2 linked regions of the Styela clava genome follow. The protein of the gene in region 1 binds, or shares a complex with, the protein of each later gene. Links are inferred from orthologs where the notes say so. Each region holds a gene or a part of one and is shown on either strand. Other genes may lie near its edges.

The links.
Region 2: structural maintenance of chromosomes protein 5-like (region 1) and non-structural maintenance of chromosomes element 1 homolog share a complex: the UniProt entries of both Homo sapiens proteins name them as parts of the SMC5-SMC6 complex. The link is inferred for Styela clava from reciprocal best matches to the Homo sapiens genes SMC5 and NSMCE1.

What each region holds. Positions count from the first base shown.
Region 1 is NC_135250.1:26,786,012-26,796,954, forward strand, and holds the start of structural maintenance of chromosomes protein 5-like, read right to left. Parts: upstream 5,048-10,943; 5' UTR 4,996-5,047; coding exon 4,889-4,995; intron 4,530-4,888; coding exon 4,335-4,529; intron 3,939-4,334; coding exon 3,842-3,938; intron 3,773-3,841; coding exon 3,632-3,772; intron 1-3,631. UniProt on the Homo sapiens protein: Core component of the SMC5-SMC6 complex, a complex involved in repair of DNA double-strand breaks by homologous recombination.
Region 2 is NC_135251.1:24,043,844-24,054,774, forward strand, and holds the start of non-structural maintenance of chromosomes element 1 homolog, read right to left. Parts: upstream 4,425-10,931; 5' UTR 4,367-4,424; coding exon 3,569-4,366; 3' UTR 1-3,568. Other genes in the region: uncharacterized protein LOC120336825, read left to right, coding at 10,673-10,798. UniProt on the Homo sapiens protein: RING-type zinc finger-containing E3 ubiquitin ligase that assembles with melanoma antigen protein (MAGE) to catalyze the direct transfer of ubiquitin from E2 ubiquitin-conjugating enzyme to a specific substrate.

The DNA of each region.
Region 1 (10,943 bases):
ACATTCTGAGAAATATTTTTGGATATAGAATACCGGTACTTTGTAAATTGGGTGCAAGTTCATGTGGGAAATTACATAAATCATATATCTTTAGGTTGATCACATCTAAAACAACACAAATATAAAGCTCATTGTGTTATTTGTTATCAGTTGAAATATTATAGTATTTGATTAGTTCGTCCAACGACACAAAATCCCAAAAAATCACAAAATTTTAAATGAAAATGTTTTAAATTATGCCTGAATTCAAAAATTTACTATATCAAATAACGAATTTCGGTTCTAATCATTCAAAAATGTTTTAAATTAATCCTGAAATTAAAAATTCACTACATCAAATAACGAATGCTGGTTCTAATAATTCGATTCCTTTTGGACTGTCCTAATACCGCCATTGCTAACATTGGAATCGGATTTCCATTTTGTTAACGTAACCCCGTCACACAGAAACGAGATCAGGAAGTTATTGTATTTGAATACTTTCGAACGTTATTTACTGTGCATTGGAACAGCAGTTTTACATATTGTTCCAAAATGCGAGAGAGAGGTAACAATGACTCATCGATTTTAACAAAGAGTAATTTTGCATTCGGAGTCTGAAATTGTGCTGAATGAGTCTTGTCATGAAAATGGTATTTATGTGAATTTGGAAAGTAATTTTAGATAACTTAAATGGAATGAATGTGGTGAATCTAGGGCCAACAAGCTACTCAACCAGAAAACTTTTTTTTTATTTTATGATAAATCGTTGTCATAGTTTTATATATTAATTTTCTCTCTAAGTTACCGTAATTTCATCATTTCATGTCACATTATATCCTTGTATATAAGCAGACCCCCTAAAACGGGTTTAGAACCGCAAATTTATAAAAATTCGCATATGGGCCGACCCTACAAATCGTATCACACCGCACGCACCTTCCACAGCAAATTGTTGCAGAAGATAATTAATGAAATTTAGTGTGATCAAAGTTATGCGCGTATAAACTCGACTTATATGCGAGAATGTATGGTACTTTCTAAACGCAGTCTAATAAAAAATAACTTTTTAAAAACGGACTGATATTTTGTGACACATTTCAATTATCTAGCAATGCACCGATGCGTCATAGCACTAACTTTGGAAACCACTGTTTTATGCAATTACTACTTCTCATTTCTCCTCAAGTTAATCAGTAGCATGGACGTAATGCATTACTATATATCTACGTATATTCAGTAGATAATGGTATTTTAGGGATCGTTCATACATTTGCTCATAATAATTCCTCTTTACACCTAAGAGGTATTTTTTCCAATCCAATATTTTCCAAAATGAGTTTGTTTTGGCCATGAAATACTTGGCTAACGTACCAAGAACTTGAATATATTCAGTCTTTTATTGAGCGATAATTCATTCACGGATATAATCACAAATTTAAGAAAATGGAAAAAAAATTACTTCAAAAGTCATATAAAACCTAAATGAAAATTTAGCCATTGTACACAGTCACCTTCTATATACAGATACAAGATAAAGAAAATGTTCTCGTTAGGCAGGATAAGATATTGAAGGAAGATAGCCACAAAACAACCCCATATAAATGCAAACTGACAACCATTTTTCCTATTTTTTATATGCAATCGTCGGTATTACATCTCTTTAGTAATATGTATGGAGGACCACTGGAAAATCAAAACAACGATTCATATGTACAGCAAATCACTTTTAAAAGTAGATGAATACTTTCTTAATTTTAATATTAATTTGTTTAATAAGTTGGTGGTCAGGGACTAAAGATGAAAAATTCTGTGCCATAATAAACTCACTCAGACAGTAAACAGAAATAATACAGAAGGCCTATTACACATTGGATGCATGCATGACAATGTTTACTTTTGTGTACTTTTAGCTTGGTATTTGGTAAAGTTAATGATTAACTAGAATTTGAGGTTTGTATTTTTCACTCTTCGAGAGTTCTTTGTGTGCAAAGTGAGGGATAAATTCACTACTAACACTGAAGCCTATTTCGAAATAACTGGAATACCAACTTAAATACAGTATAAATTAAATGTTATAACAGCAAACAAATTGTATTGTTTCAAAAGGAGAATACACAACTGACATTAATATATATTTCTATAGTATTTAACCTGCGATAACTAATCATCGACTTTTGAAATTAAGATTGTTTTAAAAGAAGTATAAATTAAAGATAAACAAAATCTACAATTAATTTTTGTTGTTACATAAAACTCGAATGGACCGTAAATGTTACCAGTGGCATATCTGAAGAATGACAGCCATGGATTGTGTGCCGAAAAGGCCTTAATCGCAAAATGTTTCAATAGAATAATTTCAAACTGGGAATTTATCTCTACCGAATAGGTTGTTCCAGAACTTTTATATTATCTAGGTTGCCCAATCATCCGAATGTTTAGATTAGGATCATTTTAATAAAGACCTTTGTTAATTGACTTTGAAATCGTACCTAATAAAGCTGTATAAGGATATTCAATACAAAAACTTGTTATTGCACAAGGATGCCAATTACGTCTATGAATTGTTTATTAAATATGACAATGTTGGAAACAAAACCTACTTTTCCCAACTACTAGAAGACCCATAACTTTAAATCAAAATAGTTTGAATTTTTTCAGTCACACTAAAGTACTTTTGTTGAACAAAACGAACAGAAAACTGTGTGAACTTTTTTCAATAAAAGATTCCTTATACAAGAGTCATAAGCCTAAAAACTGATTCTTATATTTCGAAAGTTTTATTATTAATGAGGAGTTGAAAAAAATATCAATATGCCATTCAGATCTTATGGAATTGAAAACAAACACAATGAATGCCTGTTCCAGTATACAAACATGGTACAGAAAAGGATTCCAACTCTATTCAATCTAGTAACTCGATATACACAAGTTTAATTTTTACAATGGAAGGACTCGGTTGCATCATGAGACGTTGGTTAGGCCAGTGTGCGTTTCCACATCAGTCTCGAAGGACTGAATAAAACCAAGATAGTACTTATTCAACAGCGATGATTTATTTTTTTTCTGATGTTTAATGTCTTTCCCTCTGAACAAGGATCTGTGTAAGCTACTACTATATCATGGAAGGACCAGAATCTGGCGTTCCAGAAGTGTATGTACCAATTTGGAACATCAAGTTGTGTAAAGGGACTGAAACCTATGGCAGGGTATATTCACTTGGCTAACACAGACAGTCCTCGAGCTCGTAATAAAACTAAAATAAGGAAAATCGGAATAAAATTATGGCCTAACCCTAACCTGGTATACACACTAATAGAGTAGGCTACCTTATTTATTACATCCTGGTTAAGATAGTGGCCATGAGTGAGTTTTTGATTTACCGAACTTAAACCTGCAATGCTAACATTGTGAATCCACAGAATCTTTTAATCAATAGGTCACCGTTTGAAAAACTCTTTAAATTGGTATCAAATATAACATTAAAATTCTATTACAGATTTCACTTGAATTTTCAGTGCTCTGCTGTAATGTTGTTCAAGATGAGTGTCCTTTACTTTTACGTTAGTGTGTAATCTTGCTTAAAGCAAAAGATAGAATACCGAAAAATACAATTTTTCAAGAAACTATGCCAAATAAATGAATTACTTACCGCCAGTTCAGTATTCTCCAGAAGCTCAATTTTATTCATTTTCGCAAAATCAGCAACTTTTTCTTGCGGAAGAAACTGACATAGATTGGAAAGTTGAATGTTCAAGCCGCTTACAGTCTCTTCAATAATTTTCGCTGATACCTGATTGAATATCAAAGTTAGATTTTATTTTATTTACCATAAATGGTAGAATACTCTGAGTATACTTACCAATACTCCGTCCCTGTACCATGAAGTTGTTGATTTATTTGAATTTGTGTGCTTTACTATTTCACGACAGATTAGGATGTTTTTAGGTTCATCATATCTGTTAAATGTTAAAAACAGAGGGATTACAGGAAAAGATGAATTACCTAGCAGGGGGGAGCACAAAATATTGTACTGCAGAATATAAATTCTTCCAAGGGTAGGATACCCTATGTAGTAGCAATGATTTTAAACCCCATACAAAAATACCGTAAACAGCATGCTATAGACTCTGATTTAAAACAATTATGTAGATAATAATTTTCGATTAAATTAAATTTAAATATTCAGTTTTTTTTTATGTAAATTAAATTTGGTACTGTTCCAGTATGATGCCGCAAAAAAAAAATTGCTCAAAATTTTCAGTCTCGTTTGCTCAAGTATTCACTCTTCCCGCTTCTTACGCTTCATCGATATCCAGGTCAAATTAATGGAAAAGTAACGATTCTTCACTTACAGTTCAATTTCGATGATTGCTTTGGTTTGTCCATATTTAATATATTCTCCGACATCTTTGGCTCTAGCGAGGTAGTTTGTCTTTCCACCCAATCCTAGACATATTGCACAAACAATGCTGGATTTACCGGTGCCATTTGGACCAATAATGACATTCAACTTTGGATTCAACGAGAACTGGAAGCTGTCATATGTTCTGAAATAGATATGGAATTAAAAAATAAATTCAAATAATAAAATCAATGCAAGACAAGGGCTGTAGCTGTCTCCGACTCAGGACTAAGCTCCAGAATTCCAGCTCCGAAATCTGAGAAAATCAATCAAAAAATTCAGAATTTTTACTTCCACCCAGGAAGTTTAAAAATATGATACTGGCTCAAGTAAAAACAAATTCAAATTCCACACTCCTGGTTCTTTTTTCATTTCTACACGATTCCTATTAATTTCACAGTCTGTTCTCAGTCAGATTTTAGTAGCAACTTTATTATTTCATACTCAAAACACGTTTATTAATTAAAGTTTTTCTACGCAAAGATACAAAAATTTTGATCGTACAAAAAATCTTTCGCAGCAATTCTGACGATTGATCCATGAGTAAATTTTTTCTTCGACTTCCTGTTACTCTGTCCAGAACCAACGACGTACGACTCATCATCTTCCATGACTGCTTTTAGCCTAATGGTAAACCAAATTCTGTTTACAAAGAGAATGATGGACATAAACACAATATTAGACAACTGGTAATGGGTCCTGATGAAATTTACGGTAACTGTTTAATGATACTCAAGCTTTTCTGTTGAATCTCTTCATGTGGATATTTTGGAATTCTTTTTTCCTCCCTCCTAAGCATAAAACTACTTTATTTGTTCAATCATCAATGGATCCTTTGCTAGTACGCAACTCACACACAACTGTGTTTCTGCACAGTTTATTATGTGTTCGTGAACAAGTACTATTTATCGTACTAAAAAAAAAAAATTAGTAATACCACAGTGAATACAAAGCAAAAGTACTCCCCAAAAATGGCAAAAATCCTTCCTGGAAAAGAATTCCTCCCCTTTTGAAAACGTTTCATAACAGGAGTGTGCCTTGTCAAGATTTTTTCATATCAAGCCCAAAAATCTAATCCGACAATTTATGTTACAACTTTTGTTAAAGCTGATGTTAACAAATTATGCAAGAACTCAAAATTTCAAAGTGCTACTCAATCAAAATTTTCTATTGTGGAAATTTTTTGGTTCGATGTGTACATGGTTACCTAAATTGTTTGTGTGGCCCAGCTAGATGAAGTTGGTTTTATGGCCCACCGATAAAAAATGTTGCACGCATCTAGTTTAGACCGAGACTATAAAATTGGGGAACATTTTTAAGAGCTCGACTCTAGGTTGAAAAAATGAAAATTTCGACTGCTCTTGAGAAAATCAAATTTTAATAACAAAATATTTGGCAAATGCAAATACTCTTTAATTATCTGTTCATTTTCTGATCCATTTTCATTTTAAGTTAGGATGAACACAAAAAGGCAATAATCGAACTTATCCAAACCTAACATGAACAGAATCAAAGAGAAGAAATCGGAAAATTAATGGTGACGTAACAATACAGCAATACTGCAATAGGATAGTGCCTCATGAATGAATAACATAAACATATCCTATATGAAAATGAATGGAAAATAGAAGCATCAACGCAGGAAATGTGAATCATAGAACATAATAACAGTCAGATTGAAAATTCCTTATTCAGTAATTCAAAAATTTTATAAAATCATCATAGGTGTCAGCTCTAACTCAATATATTGGTACTCAAAGAGATTTACTCAAGTAATACATGGAACCCAGCAAAACATACAAAAGTAGCCCAACTAGTACACTACTGGTGTTAAATATTCCCCACAAACCAAAGAATCACATAATCCATTAATTCCACACGAATTTTATCATTTCAGCATTTTGATCACTCCCAGATAGAAAGGTAAGACTAAATTAAATTTTAAAATCACCAAAGTTTCATCAATTTTAATTAAAAAACATATATTATTAAATTAAAAACCCCAGTAACGGTGCTGAAGTACGGCACTCAGACACAGAACCGAACTTTGGGTGAGAGAACACGTACTGCTTCTTTTATCAATACCTTTCCATCTAAAATCTGTACGTTTCAAACCTTACTCTAGGTTTTGTTCGCTTTCCCGATTCTATAATCAGTTACTTTTATCTATTTCTTATCGTCTATTGCTGATTATGGAGTCGAAATAAACTTATACTTATACAGAACCTGAAAACGGTGAATAGACAAACTGCCGAGCGTGGGCAAAATAAGCGTGCACTAACAACTGGACGAATGCATGTGTAAAACCACTTTCAAGCCGCAAAACCTACCAACAAATAACTAGACATATTTACAGTTAGCAAAATAATTAACACTTAAACTACAACAAGAAACAAGATATCTATATCACTAAATAAACCTCCTCCGGAAAGACTTCCGCGGAAAAATCCCGAAGCTGAACTGTCAAAACGAGGTGAAGAAAACAAACCAACTCCCGCAGGACGACGTCACGGTTGACAGTTTTGCGCCCTTTGCGGTTTGTTTGTTTCTTTATTTTTTTCAATCATTCGTCTACAACTACTGATGTGCAAAATCAAATCAAAATTCCAACCACCAACGGTAATAAAGAGCAACAAGTTTTCGGTACTTTCCCAGTGCTTTTTGAGTTATACATAGCAATGCTAAAAAGCGTGAATATACGTGTGTGAAGCGAGTTGTAATGTACAATACATGTTGAAAAAATATTGGATTATCTGTTGCGAGGTTTGTATGAGAGTTATACGTTATAGGTATGTAAGCTTAGCCATGAGAATTCCACTGTTTAAGCAACAGACAGGCTGTGGCTGTGCGAATTAGAAATTCCTGCTTTAATTTTGAAGCGCAAGTATTTAGAGTTTCTGTAGTGTAAATGTTAATTTAAAAATTATACAAATTTTGCACCTAGAATCTAGAAGTAAAATACCCGGTTTAAGAGGTGTGATACAGTCTAACGAATTTTTCATAAAACCAGAAAGAAGTGTGGAAACGCACATTTGATTGCTACAATAAAAAAAATTCTAATTGGTTCAATCGTGGTACATAACAGTGTACAATCAAGAGACATATTGATTAGATTGTAGTAACACGTATTTGAGCTCTGTTATCACAAGTGAGATTGCCACACTGGCATGGGGTTCTGCCGACTCCACACAAATTTCTAGTCACGACACGAATAACACACAATAGTAATCGAATCTTTATTTGATTAAAAACTTTGCTGCCTGAAAATCTAATGTATTCCACAAATTTGAATATGTGACTGACTCTTTGTTATTATTTTATTATCCTGGGATCGCCTGCTGAGTCATTATTTCGACTGATATATTTTCCACAGGAGTAGACGTCACTATCCTTTGCTGACTCCAAGCATCTCGTTTCCTCTTCTTCATATGACTGCTCTAAAAGTTGAACAGGTATTTGTTGCTCTATATTTATTGGATCAATCTACGCCTTTCTGCTGAATGATAAGGTTTTCTACTTCTGTCATCAGAATGTTGAATATATAGCGTGGCTTTGCATCTGGCAAAATCAGAATTTTACAGTGCTGTCGATCATATTTAATCGTTAAAACATGTCGCTACAGATATAGCGTAATGTGAATAAGCTTAGTTACTCACGTTTGAAACTGATCTGAACTAGAAAATTATAATTGAAGCAGAAATCTAAAAAATAAGCAGCATAATAACGCAGGGAATCGAAGAACACACTTTATTTGCTCAAAGCAAGGTTAAGGTTTCTATCGACTAAAAGTGGGAAGGAATACTTTTCGGTAAGAGTGCTGGCTTCCGCGATTAAAGTTTTATAAATATCTATAGCAGGGGTGGGCAAGGTAGTTTTCCCCACCGATACCGGCGGGCCATGTAGGTGGAAAGTTACACGTGAACACACACAACAAGTGCACGAGGCGAAAGAAAGAGGTGTGAAATGCACGCTGTCGAATCGAGTGGGCGAGAAAACGTAAAGTTTTGTTAACGTCCTATATAATGAATGTCTGTGGCAACCTAAAATACAACTTACACAGATTACGATCATAATCTAACAAGCCTATTGCAGTGCTAGATTTGAGAGTGCGCGGTATACGCGTGTAATATATATATATATATACATGGATCAAATTAAAAAATAAACTAATTTGTAATAAGAAGGTAATGCAGCGCGTTATGCAGAGTGCGCGTCATATTCGAATAAATACGGTGAGCAATAACTGCTAAGCGAGGCCAAAATTGTCTGCCGGGGATATTTTGGGACAGTGTATTTCAAAGCCTCCATATGTTTTCACTTCTGAATGGTATGAAAATCGAAAGGAGGAAATAAGCTTAGAATATAGTTATCTGTTTAAAATTTTCAAAATTCAATAAAAACAACGATTTTAGTAGACAATACAATCAATTCAAACTTCCAGACGATAGGAGAGTGACATGCGCGGTCAAAAGTAATGATAGAGCTTGTCTCAAAGTTTGAAACCCTGAACAACGCGTAACGCCAATGAATTATGTATTTTTAGTATTCAATGTAACAAATTTTATATATATATATATTTTATTTTTGAAGCAAATTTTATATATATATTTTTTTGTTTATACGGATTAGGCCGACAAGTCTGGAATCCAGCCCAAAAGCCTTCATGCCCAGACTATGCCGACGGAAGTTCTATAGCTCATTTTCTTTTCGAAAAAAGAAGAAATCGCTGGTGTTGTAACCTAAGTTCTGTCTAAGTTCTGGCAGCTTCTGGATCCAACTCCAGCGGTTCTGGCTTGAATAGTCTATCCATGTTTAAGTTAATTAAATTGTTGTAACCTAAGTTCTGTTTATTACTTCACAAACAAATCCATCCACAAATACTAGGCTTTAATTAACTTAAACGTTAGCAGCACCTTAAAGCAGTTCACAATGAAATGATAAAGCACCAACAAAACATGACTCAGATAAAAGCAAGTCGAGTATGACTCGTCAGACAAATTACTGTTGCCAGTAAACAGATAAGTTGAGAATACCAAAATATGCAATAATACAATATAAATTACCACAGCTGGTTCCACATTATTGTGGTTAACTTCCTTTCATCACTTCTATGATTTACGAAATAGAAGACTTACCTAGATCTTATGATACGTCTATGAGCACTATTCTCAATACGTGCGTTTATGCTAGCCAGAGAAATTCGTCCAGTCTGAAAACAAAGGTGCTGGTGACATTTTTTTCGAAACTAGCACCCCCCCCCTTCCTTCAAAAAATAAGGAAAGGTATAACAATGTTTCTGGCATACTCTGGCATAATTATCTTACGGAAAATTGAAAAGCGATTCGTCGGCCAGAACTATCTTTTTGTCTGAACTACAACACAAGGAACGCCATTGTTAAACAAAATGATTCATTGGTCCAACAATTAGCTGAAAATCATACAGTGTACAAATTTACTCCTGTCGTGAGCACGTCATAATAATTTTGAATAATATTGTGAAGTTCGAAAATACAATTCGGAAATTATGGCCATTTAATAAACAGAACTCAAAATTGCCTATCTCATGAAAGATTTTTTGGACCGGTGCAGCAATCTTCAAAGTGTCAGGTTAGCAATACTGAAGTTTTGTAGCCTACTGTTTTTCTTTGTCTCTCATCGTAAAAATGTTACGTACCAGTTCAACCATTGACCTTAATAATAAGTCAATAAAGACCAATGACATTAAACAACATGATAGGCAACTCTGACGTCACTCCATAAGACTACAGGCAAAACATTGTATTTCATGATACGCTCCAATGCACATATTTCTCGTCGCCTTTCGCGTCCGTTTTCCGCTCGCTTTTGCTACTCGGCGTTTTTTTTACGTGTAGTACCTGCCTTTTTGCGCCTGTAACGAAACAAAATAATCTCTATATCTAAGAAGTTTTGCTTACTTGGAAAGCTGGAATAACAGGCAAGCTGTAAAGAGCAATTCTGGACATCATAGACGTTTTTTTTTATCAGAGAAGATTACAAACGCGATAGCGGAAAGATTTGTGTGGAACATTTTGCAGATAATGACAAAGTTCAAAGTTAGTAATTTTAATGTTTGCGCTTAATCATTGAAATTTCATTTAAAGAGGGTGTCATACAAAACTGTGCTGCGATACAATTCCATAACACAAAGTTTGCACCTATCGAACTTGCTTTTGTAGGTGAATTTATTAGACATATTACATATTCAGTTAATCGTAGGTAACATTGCTGGTACATAATGCATCATAGAGGTTTGTTTAAATTTAGGAATTTAGCTCATAGCCCACTAATTAATATTATCTTCTATGCAGGAGGTTGCAGGGCTGAATTCAACTTGCAGCCTTACCGATCACCTGACGATGCTCATTTAGTTTGGCTCGAGCAAGTCTCCTTGAAATGCTTGTGTGGATGGAAACTACCTATATTTTTTGCCTTCCTCCGATTTTAGACAAATTTATTCTGAGGGATTTCGCATATAATTCTCACTGATTGTTGGCTGTTTATAATTCCTATTGATTGTGAATTCTGATTATAACAATGA
Region 2 (10,931 bases), on another chromosome or scaffold:
ACGGGGATATAGAATACTGAATCCGGAGGGTTGAATCCCTGTCCACTTACTGGTGATTTTTCGTTTTGAAATGCGTGAAACATTCTCTATTTTAAATTAAATGACGTTTCGCGGGCTAGTGATGTGTTCCAGACGTTAGTTAGACGATAGATAAAACATTAGATTAATAATTTTCGTGACGCCCCGTTTTCGAAAATACAAAGTTATATCGCAAAAAAATGCGTTATGATACATTTGGAATGAAACATCATTTACGGTGAATTCAGATCACATTTTACTCTCCATGACACCCGGTATCTGAAAATAAAGTTGTATCTCGAAAAATGTGTTTTGTTACATTTAAAATAAAACATTTTTGCGATTAATTTAGATCATATTTTACTTTTCAGGAAACCCGTTTTCGAAAATACCAGGTTATATCGCAAAATGTGTTTTGTTACATTTAAAATAAAACATTTTTGCAATTAATTTAGATCAAATTTTACCTTTCACGGCAACCCGTTTCCGAAAATACAAAGTTATATCACAAAACATGCGTTTTGTTACATTTATTTTGCATTCCCAATAAAATACATATTTTCCCTAATTAAGGTCGTCGATGAATCTGTTCCTGTCGTTCAAGCTCGACACACGTTTGGACGAGTGTGGGGCGGTTTTTTGATCGACGATAAATTAAAAAGTTGCCACACGTTATTTGTATAACGATAATAACTGAAAATTAAGATTTTATAATGGAAGTGAATTTGTCTCAAGATGGTATTTTACAATTCCTGCCCACAGAACATAAACACGCTGACAGGCTTGGTTATAATTGATATTCGTTTAATTTATTTTACACTATTAATAAACGCGCCACACCAATTGCGACCATATAAATTGCAGTCGCATCGGTATGGACTGTATGTTTTTGGCGCTCTCAAATTAATAATAATTTTCAACAAAACAATACCCCGACGGTCATTAAAGCTGAATTCGTTACCGAATAATTCGCAATTTTATTTACGGAATTTGCAATATCAAGATCTCACTTGACGATTTTGATGATGTCATGCCCTAATTATTACTGCTTGAATGCCTCAAAATACAGCAAGTGTAAGCATTTTCGACGATAACAGGCGCAACAATTCGTAAACGAGCCTTTATAACGAAATTCGCGATTGATTTTACCTCTCTCTTGTTTACAATTTTAACATCCCGCCGGCCATGTATGGCCGAATAAAATGTTCACATATTCGAAACATGACTTGGCCAAGGATGGAAGGGATCACTAAAGAGCTAATAGAAAGTACATACGCGAGGGTATGATATTAATATCGGGAATATTTGAGCATATCACAGGACGGAAATATTTTGCACCCGGCTGTTTGTTGGCAGAACAACGATACGCTAAAGTTAATTGATCGAATACAGGGAAGTATTTATTTATCATCTCACTTGCGAACATCGAGGTTTTGGCGGAATTGTACGATCATGTTGTCTTTCTTAAATAATAACTTTTTCAATAAATGTTCATTTTACTTTTGCGTCTTCATTATATGTCTGGTTTTCATTTATTTTAAATTCGAAATTGTCCGAAATACTCCAACAGGTGTATAGGTACAATAATAATAGTACTCACCAAAGTACCTACCAGGGAAGTTTAATACACACGATGTGTAAAGGGCGTCGTAACTCCCGTTTATTAATTATAAATTTTTTTACATTCTGCTTAAAAAACAAAGGCAGTCATCTCACGTAACTCTCGCGACCAAATCTTTTTTGTTTTGTATGGCATCGTCTTGGCGACGAATTTATTGCCGACTGAATTTTAATTGTGTTTTAGGTTAGTTATTTTCTGTTTGTTGGTTTCTAAACTTTACAAACTTGGGTAGCAATTACTATTAATGTGAGATTTGTGCATATGAACGATTGAATATCGGGACTGAATGTCCGATATTTGAGAATGCGTAATTCGCTTTCAACATTAATTTTCAGGATATCAGCGTTCATGTGGTCGAATAAAAATTATTTATCAAATGGATTGGTATTTCGAGACACTCTCAAAATTATTTGGGATCCATTATCATATCATTCGTTTATTTTTTATATTCATGTTTTTCTCAAGAATCACCCTCGTTATATTTAGTGTACCTTCGCAAAAGAAAACTCTTTGATGTCATCGTTCCTATTAGTGTAATTGAAATATATGGAAACCTCGCAAGTGGCGTTGTGATGCGAATATTTGATACTAGGTCAGCAGCATTACAAAGAGTGCTATTTATGAATGCTGAAAGTACATGACATTACTAAACATTTTGCCAATATATGATGTTTTCTGCCCGATTTAAACTAACTCGCACGCAAACCAAGGCATGTGGACATTTAAAAATTACTTGTCTTTGGGGAAGCTCTGAAATAGTATAATATAAATGTAAATGAGAAATTAGGTCACGCTAGCTCACGAAACAGGAGGATTTTCAAAGTGATCTTGTGTAATATTTCGGAGAAAAAAGTTTGAAAGGAAAGTAGGTCAACCTATCTCCTAAAACAGGGGAGTATCCTGCATAATATTTCGGAGGGAACGTAGGTTAACCTATCTTTTAAAACAGCGGGTGGCGACTTTCAAAGCGGTTCAAAATCACAAATTAATAATTATCAGATTAGGTTTAGGGATGAATCGAAAAGTTGAATTTCTAGCGCACCTAACCCTAATTAGTTGATTGCTATTTATTTTTGAGGGGGGGGGGGATTATTTTGCACCGGATTTGTACAAACGATCCACCCTGTAATTAATATGGTTTCCAGCCGGCCTCGTGTCTGTTAGATGGAAGGAGTAACAAATGTGAAAGTCTTTGCTGTTTACGCGAGTAAGCAACTGACACCGTGATACATTGCATGAAAGTAGGTAGGCAGGTGTTAGCAGATGTCATTTCGTTGCCGATGAATTCGCTTGTTTTAATTAAACATGAATTCGCTTAAAGGGATTCCGTTAACGAAAAGGCTTCTCTTTAATTCATAATATTAACCGGAGGAGCGCTTTTTCGAGTATCTATGCCGTTTTAAATGGGTTATATGAAAGGCTAGGGCACCTAACTTGTTAAAATCGGCAAAAGCACTTTCGCACTTTTTTTTTGGACTGCGAAGCACTTTCGCACTCATAATTTGCTTAGAGTTAACACTGGTAGTCATAATTTTTGCCATATTCACCTAAAATTAGAATGTATAAAGCAAATATACTTTGTAAAATATTACATAGTATCACATCTAGTGTATGTACATATTCATAAATGGGTGGCACACCGAATTGAAAAATATACTAAAACATTAAACAACTTTGAAAAGTATGTTCATTTTGCCACGAAGTTATGCGAAACATTAACACAGCTTAGTAATCTCCATTTAACTATGTTGTTCTATGAAGTATTTTTTTGTTATACAAAATTGACACAGTTTGGCATATGATTTCACTCTGAAACCTAATCTTATTCATTCAAAATAACTTGAATGCTCCAGACAAAGTGTGGAGCATTCACAATAGTCGAGAAATATCCCATAATCTTTGTTATTGAGTATAGAATAGTATTTCCATTCATCGCCTTCGTTTTCTACGTTCATTAATTGTTGGTGTCAGACCTTCCATACTTCCGTTTACACGAGATGTATCCATATTGGGCAAGGATGGAAGTAACGTCATGACATCATGACAGACTGGGCATTTACATTCGTCCATTGATCTACCCCTGAAATAAGTGGAGGCACAGTACAAGTGTATTCTACTTCTGCATCTCTTGCAGTTAACTCCTTTTAAGACCATACTTTTGCATATGTTGCAGTATAAAACCTCATTCTTCAATTCAGCTTTTATATACGGTTCCAACTCTAGTATTGAACGAGGGGTGAGGTATACCATCCCATCTTTCTCTCCAATCCAATTTTGTTTCACAAGCTTTGTAATCAGAATCTCGATTTCAGATTTCAAAATATTTTTCTGAGGCAATTCTTCCGTTATGTTGAGGATATCAGTAGATGAAACCATTCCTGTATTTGAGCTAACGATAAGATCAACAGCTCGGTGAAAAATTTCAATTTCTATTTTCGTGAAATTTCCTCCAATTACTAAATGATTTATATCATGATCTGTGACACTTATTAGTGCATAGACATCTTGTCCAGAATCTTCATCATTGCCTTTCCTTATTTCTAGGTGGAAAGGTTGAATTTGTTTATTTACAGATGTTATAAACGATGATAGTGTCCACTGGTCTCTATTTTTTTCTGAAACCTTGAAGCACTCATCTAAGAGTGAGTCACACTCATGGTCAGTCGCTGATCCTTTTTGCATCATAGCTTGCAAAAAATATTTTTGGGCATCTCCATATGCAGTCATTTTTGTTATGCTATCATACAGATATTTATATTGTTTTATACAATCTGTAAAGGAAAGTTATACTCAAATAAATAAGAGGTAAATATGGTGGTATATGCCCAGGCCAGTCTGGATTTCATGGCCTTTTTGAACGAGAAATCGGGCGTGCAATCAGAAATTCCCGCATGCAAATCAGAATTCCAGGCGTGCAATTATAGCTCATGACATGCAAAACACCTGCGTTCACGTGCAACTGATTTTGACTTTAGATACTGTTCGATACATCCGCGTTAAATTACTGGTATTGGATAAAAACTACATTAAATCAGAGCAAAAATGGACGTTTGACCTTTGACCCATAAACATTATTTCTATACTTTGTCATTAATTTTGAGTGTTTGTGCGGCTCTGGATACCGGTACTGTTCAGTACATCCGCTTAAAATTATTGGATCAAAAATACGTTGAAACAGAGCAAAATGAACATACCTTTTTACTAATCTGTTAATTTTGGGAGTGTTTTTACATGGAATTATTGGATAAAAATATGTTGAATCAGAACAAACATTTGAACATGGACATTTGACCTTTGACCCCAAATATTATTTCTATACCTTGTCACTAATTTTGAGAGTATTTGTGCGACTTCAGATACTGGTACTGTTCAGTACATCCGTGTAAAATTATTGTATAAAAAATACGCTGAATCAGAGCCATAACTGACCAGCGCCGACTAGTCTGCCAATCTTTTCGCCCATAACTATTCCCACGGGATTCCTATCACTCAACACGATGCGCCACAGCGCTAAGCAATTTTGAAATACTGTCTTTTTTGCTTCGCATTTTTCGGTCAGGCCAAATCTTGCAAGCTAGTATGTAACATAAATTACCCTATTATCGTCACTTTTTACTGCAATCCATCCGAAGACTACTATACTCTAAAGTAACAATTTTTTCTCTATTGTCCCGGAACATTAGCTACCAATCGGAGAAAAAAATGCCAACAGCATTGAGTCGCGAAATGAATTTGCTATAGCGACACCTCACGAATATAGCAGAAATGTGGGTATGGCGATAATAGGAACTACGATTATCCTATTATCGCCACTTATGTCAAACTTTTTTTTCCAAACGCTTTTCTCTTTAAATACATAATCAATTGCTCTGAAATTTTCAACGATTAAATATTATTGCGGCCGCTGAAAGGCTATTACTTTTATTTATTTCAAACATTTTTGTCGGCCCTACGAGATTCGTTTTTCACTCCCTAAGTTTTATGCGATGAGGTCATCAAAATAAATAATTGTGCATCTTAGCATGGCGGTTCTGCGATCACATTTAGGCGTTCTGGCGGTCATCGAAATCGGAATTTTTTTTAATAAGGGAGACTACTGTTATTGTGGAAGATTTGATACCACTTCGTTTTGGTTTTCGTGCTCATATATTTGAGCATTGCTGCTTTGTTTTTTCACGATTTTTTCGGTTCTCTCTTTTGGCGAGCCATAAGTTTCTTTTTCTATTATCGCCACCCTGTGGATGCGAGAGTTAATAATAGCACAATTTTTACAAACACTTCCCATGTCAAACTTGATTCAACCTAGATCTAACACGGACTGATAAAAACTAAAAGAAATAAACATCGTCGCGCTATTTGGGCTGATAATTAGTAATTACCGCCTCCCAAAAAGTTGACCGCGCGTGATATCAGTTGATTTTTATATTTTTCAAAAATTCATGTTTTTATTAAAATGTCTGTACTCCACCGGGCGACATAATATGTTTCATACTTATCACTTATGACGTCGCAATCCGAAAACAACTCGTATTCAGCGCTATCTGAAAGTGCTGAAGTGCAACTGCAGCAGTGCGATTTTAAGAGAGTGTGGTGAAAATTGGCAAGTGGCGATAATAGGGTAACTTACGTTAGTCAACAATTGTGGAGCAAAAATTTGTTGGCATCTTCATATTCAGATATTACTGGATTATTGATTTAAAAACCTTTTAAACCGATTTTTATTGGTGAGCAATCAGCACCGCTGTGTACCGTTATTCCTGTATTCAGCTATTGGCTCTCTAGTCCGATGAAAAAAGGGAAGCGTTACGAGTAGTCCAAAAGCTAGGCTATAACAGGATGAGAAAAAGTCTACTTACAGACTTCCTCAGAGCTACCGGTAGCCTATGAAATCCTATTCTTACAATACAATTTTATTTCGATCTTTCAACTTACAATCATGATATATGTATGCATTATCCGGGTATTACGGTAATAGTTTACTGCTAGTAGCTAGTTTACATGCAGTACGGCGTACACTAACAAATAAACCTACGCTGTCTAGGCAATTTGTAATAAACTCGCGGGTAGCGGTAAGCTAGACAGGCTTACTGTGAAACGGCGCCTGCGTTCTAGTGATAGGCTATCTAACAAAAATTAATCAAATCCTTATTGGCTCAATACTGCCACCTTCTGGCAGACGGTTTGCTTTTATGCGAACTGCTAACGTAAAATAATTTACTCTTGACCATTTCACAAATAATGATTATTATGTACAATTTGTCCACCTCCCTCATCATTGACCCCAAACTGCACACGGAAGCTGATTTAGATGGTCAAAAATTATAATTTTATCGCGGAACGGAAGAGAGTGGGTCTCAGCATGGTTAACCATGGTCTCAGATATTTAATCAATGTTTGTATCTATAAAAAACCTCTGAAACAAATCTTATGGGCTTCTGTTGGTGTAGTTTTGGGCTTTACTTATGCAGCACTTCTATCGTGGAATTTTTATGGCACTCGATTTTATAAAATTAGAGTACGAAAACACGCATATGAATTACCAAAAACCGTTAGTCGTTGCCCAAAACGTGATAATTCGGAAAAAATATTTTACGGATTCAAAGATTTTGGAGGTAATTCCACTCTGATGGTGTTATATTTTTCGATCAGCTTTCAATCACAGTGAAGCACTTTTTCACTGCCCCAATGTTATTTCAGATTTCTAGGTTTTTATTTCAAGTCTGAAAGATTTTGTTTTCCCAACGGCATCGTAGGCGAGCAACTAATAAAATGCAAAGTAGCATCTAGTTCTCGTATATCCTCCAAAACAGTCTGCAGATGTACTTCCGAAAGAGACAAGACAAGACGTTGTGAGAAATGAACAGATCGATTGTATTGTTAAGTCATAAACGATGTCAAAGCCAATAGCTGAATAACAGCGATGCAGATATGCGTCCAAGATTAGGGGTTTTGAAAATTACCATACCGGCTCTCAAAATTAACAATTTGAATATGAGCGATCGCAGCTCTGACTGCCCAACTGACGGTACATTATAATAGTTCAGTTATTGTTAGATTAATTTAAGGCCGGTTTTATCAATTTTTATTCTTGATATATTAGCATTTTTTTTAATTTTATTCCTGCCTTGGCGGGTCACGAATAAAACGCGATGGCTCACTTTGTAACCTGCGGGTCAGTGGTTCGTCATCCCTGGCATATGTTTATGTTCTGTAATTACCAAATAAATGTAAATCCCTCTTTCTTTTTTTCTTCCTATTACTTGTGTGGGCACCGACTTCAATGGTGCATCTCGTTATTAGTTTTGTAAAATTAATAAAATCCTGCCACCTTGAATTCGATGATAAATGATATTATTGTAAAAAATGCATATCAGTACTTTCCATAATCAGAATGCCGTTGGCTGGAGGTCGATTGATTTTAACGCTTTGGCCCTGACACAGAAACAAAATCATCCTCCACGTTGATAATAAGTAAATAAAAACAACACATGCTACACGTCTCATTGTGAAAGGTTTTCAGCACAGCAATAGAAGGTGCATGTGCGCCTTAAATTTAAGTTTAATGTGGCGATTTTTCGCAGACGGACAAGAAGGCCGAAACTAAGTAGTACGAGTATCCAATCTGTCACAGGAAACAAAATCGCACAAAAATAAAAACCTCAGAACTCAGGGAGATAATAATAAACGCAGAGTCCTTCTAGCAATATATATTGTACAGTTTGCGGTGTCGTATCAAATCAACATAGCAGTAAAGCAGTTTATGCATGAAAGTGAAGGATTTGCCACAAAACGTTACACATTGTTTGTAATCCAAGTTTTAACCTCGAGATTCGATTCTAATTCATCGGAATCGATTCTAGTATTAACTCCGGACTCGATTCCGCCATCCGTACTCAGCATGATAAGTTAATATTTTTTGTTGAATGATCGACTTTTTCTAAAATATTTGAAAAAGATGGCATTGAGCTAATCAGTCTATAGTTTTTGACATTTTTTAAGTCTCCGCCTTTATGAAGCGGTACTACTTTAGCGATTTTAAATTCATCTAAAAATGGTCCCGATTGAAGAGAAGGATTAAAAACATGTATAAGAGAGAGCATGTAGTTCCATTGCATCGTTCTGATAACCTTTTAATGGGGACTCCATCAAGCTTGATTTAGGATTTAGGTCTAAAAGCTCGAATAATAGCTTGTATGTTTGTGGCTGTTACCGATGCCAGAAACATTGATGAGTTACTAGATTTGCTCATGTAGCCTACCTCATAAAGTTACCGTCGTTATCATTAGTGAATTTATCAGCCATTCGTTTTCCTGTAACGTAAAAAAATCATCATTGAAATGATCAGCTATCAATACAGGATCACACGTTTCCTTATTTCCTACACCAAATACATTTGACAGTTTAGATTTGCATCGACCTAGCAGGGTATTCATTGTTTGCTACGATTTTTCAGATAGTTTAAAGTTTTACTCAAAAGCGATCTGTAGTAAGAATACTTTAGTCATATTGGTCGGATTAAATGATCGAGGAAAAATGTTTTCTTCGTTTTTAAGTGTTTTTTGTTCTGTCGACATGCACTGCATTACAGGTAGGTGGTCAGAGATTGCATCAGTTAGAATAGCACTGACAGGTTTTCGCTCGTATATGTTTGTCCATATATGATCAAGAATTGTTGCGCTGTTTTTGGTTATTTTGGTCGGTTTGGTTATAGTGGGATAAAAAGAATATTGATTTATCAACTTAGTCCATCAGATCATAATTAAGGTCACCCATCATTATAATATGTTCTGATAATGAGGGTAAAACAGTGTTCATGAGATTAGAAAAATCTTCATTTCTAGAATTATCAGACCGTGGGGATCGGCGAATAGTACCGCAAGTTACAATTCGGTCTTTGAGATAAACGTCAACAAATAATGCTTCGAACAAAACTTGAAACAAAAAATTCACGAGAACGGGTTTTAGATTTTATGATTTCATCAATATTCTCGACAATGAATGGTTTACGGGTGGTAAAATGCCAAGTTATTCCAACAACATGATCATGTTTTGCAACCTACAACCAATATTTTGTATGTAACTTTGTTTGACAGAGCCCCAAGAGATCTAACTACAAATATCAAAAAAGTTAGGCCAAAAAATTACACTACAACATAGTCAAATGTGCTGTAATTACGATAGATAACAGGTTTACCAAAAATCATTACATGTAAAATGGTAACAAAAAGATCAATTCAGCAATATCTTCTTAAGAGTTGGTGATATGCATTTGTTGATGATTTTATGTGTTTGTTTCGGACATTTAATGACAAAATTAATTGTGGTTGTTGGGGATGTTTCAATAAAAAAAAATAGCTAATTACGTTATAACTGCAAGCAAATAAACAAAAGATAGCCCTATTATATTGAACTCTAGTATTTACGCGCACCCTTTTCAAGACGAGGAAAGTGTACGTGATGCCTTCGGTACACATTTCAATGTTTTGATGTTTTCGTTTCACGATCGAGAACATCAGGCGGCACGTTTCAGGTTTCATCACGAAATATATTCAAAAGCTCCCAGCAGAGTAGGGATGAAAGCCTGCTCATTTGGAAGTTTTTCGTTGTAGTTGGTACTTTGGCCTAATGTGAGATATATTTTGCTCACTGTTATTTAAAGGATAAATCGAAAATCTTTTTGTGATTGTTGAGACAAAAACACGACTTGTGTGCTTCGAATTGATTATCCAATCCAAATTATTCAAGTGGGTAAAATTTGTAAATTTAGAAGAAAGTTGAGTCAAATTTTTAATCAGGGTTTTATTTTGAGTTTAATTTAAAAACTTTAATGAGTTGTCATGAGACATGTCATCGTGCTGACTGAAAATCCTTTGTATCCTTGACTTAATCAGTGACCTTCTGCGATACCGATAAAAAGTCATTCGCCTTGTCCATCTTTGACAGTCGAATAATAATATTCTATAATTTTATTTATTTCTATCAATTTGCAATGAAACTAATCGGGTAAAATACATTTCGATATCTGCGGAAAATATGCTCAGATACAGAAAGGGAAAAATGAAAATAGCAGTTTGTCTTCTCTGCATTGTTTTTTGTTGCTCCGTGACCGCAAACGATTGCAAGAACAGCAAATCAAAGCAAATTGTGGATTGGACAAAGGTAATATGCACGCAGAGAAGTGCCAGTTTGTTCAGTTATTAATTTAGTTTAATCACATACGTGCGAGTAATTACAATCACTTTGCGTTGCAAAGCCTTTCTAGAGTCCATTTTATTATGCCTATGACGTTACA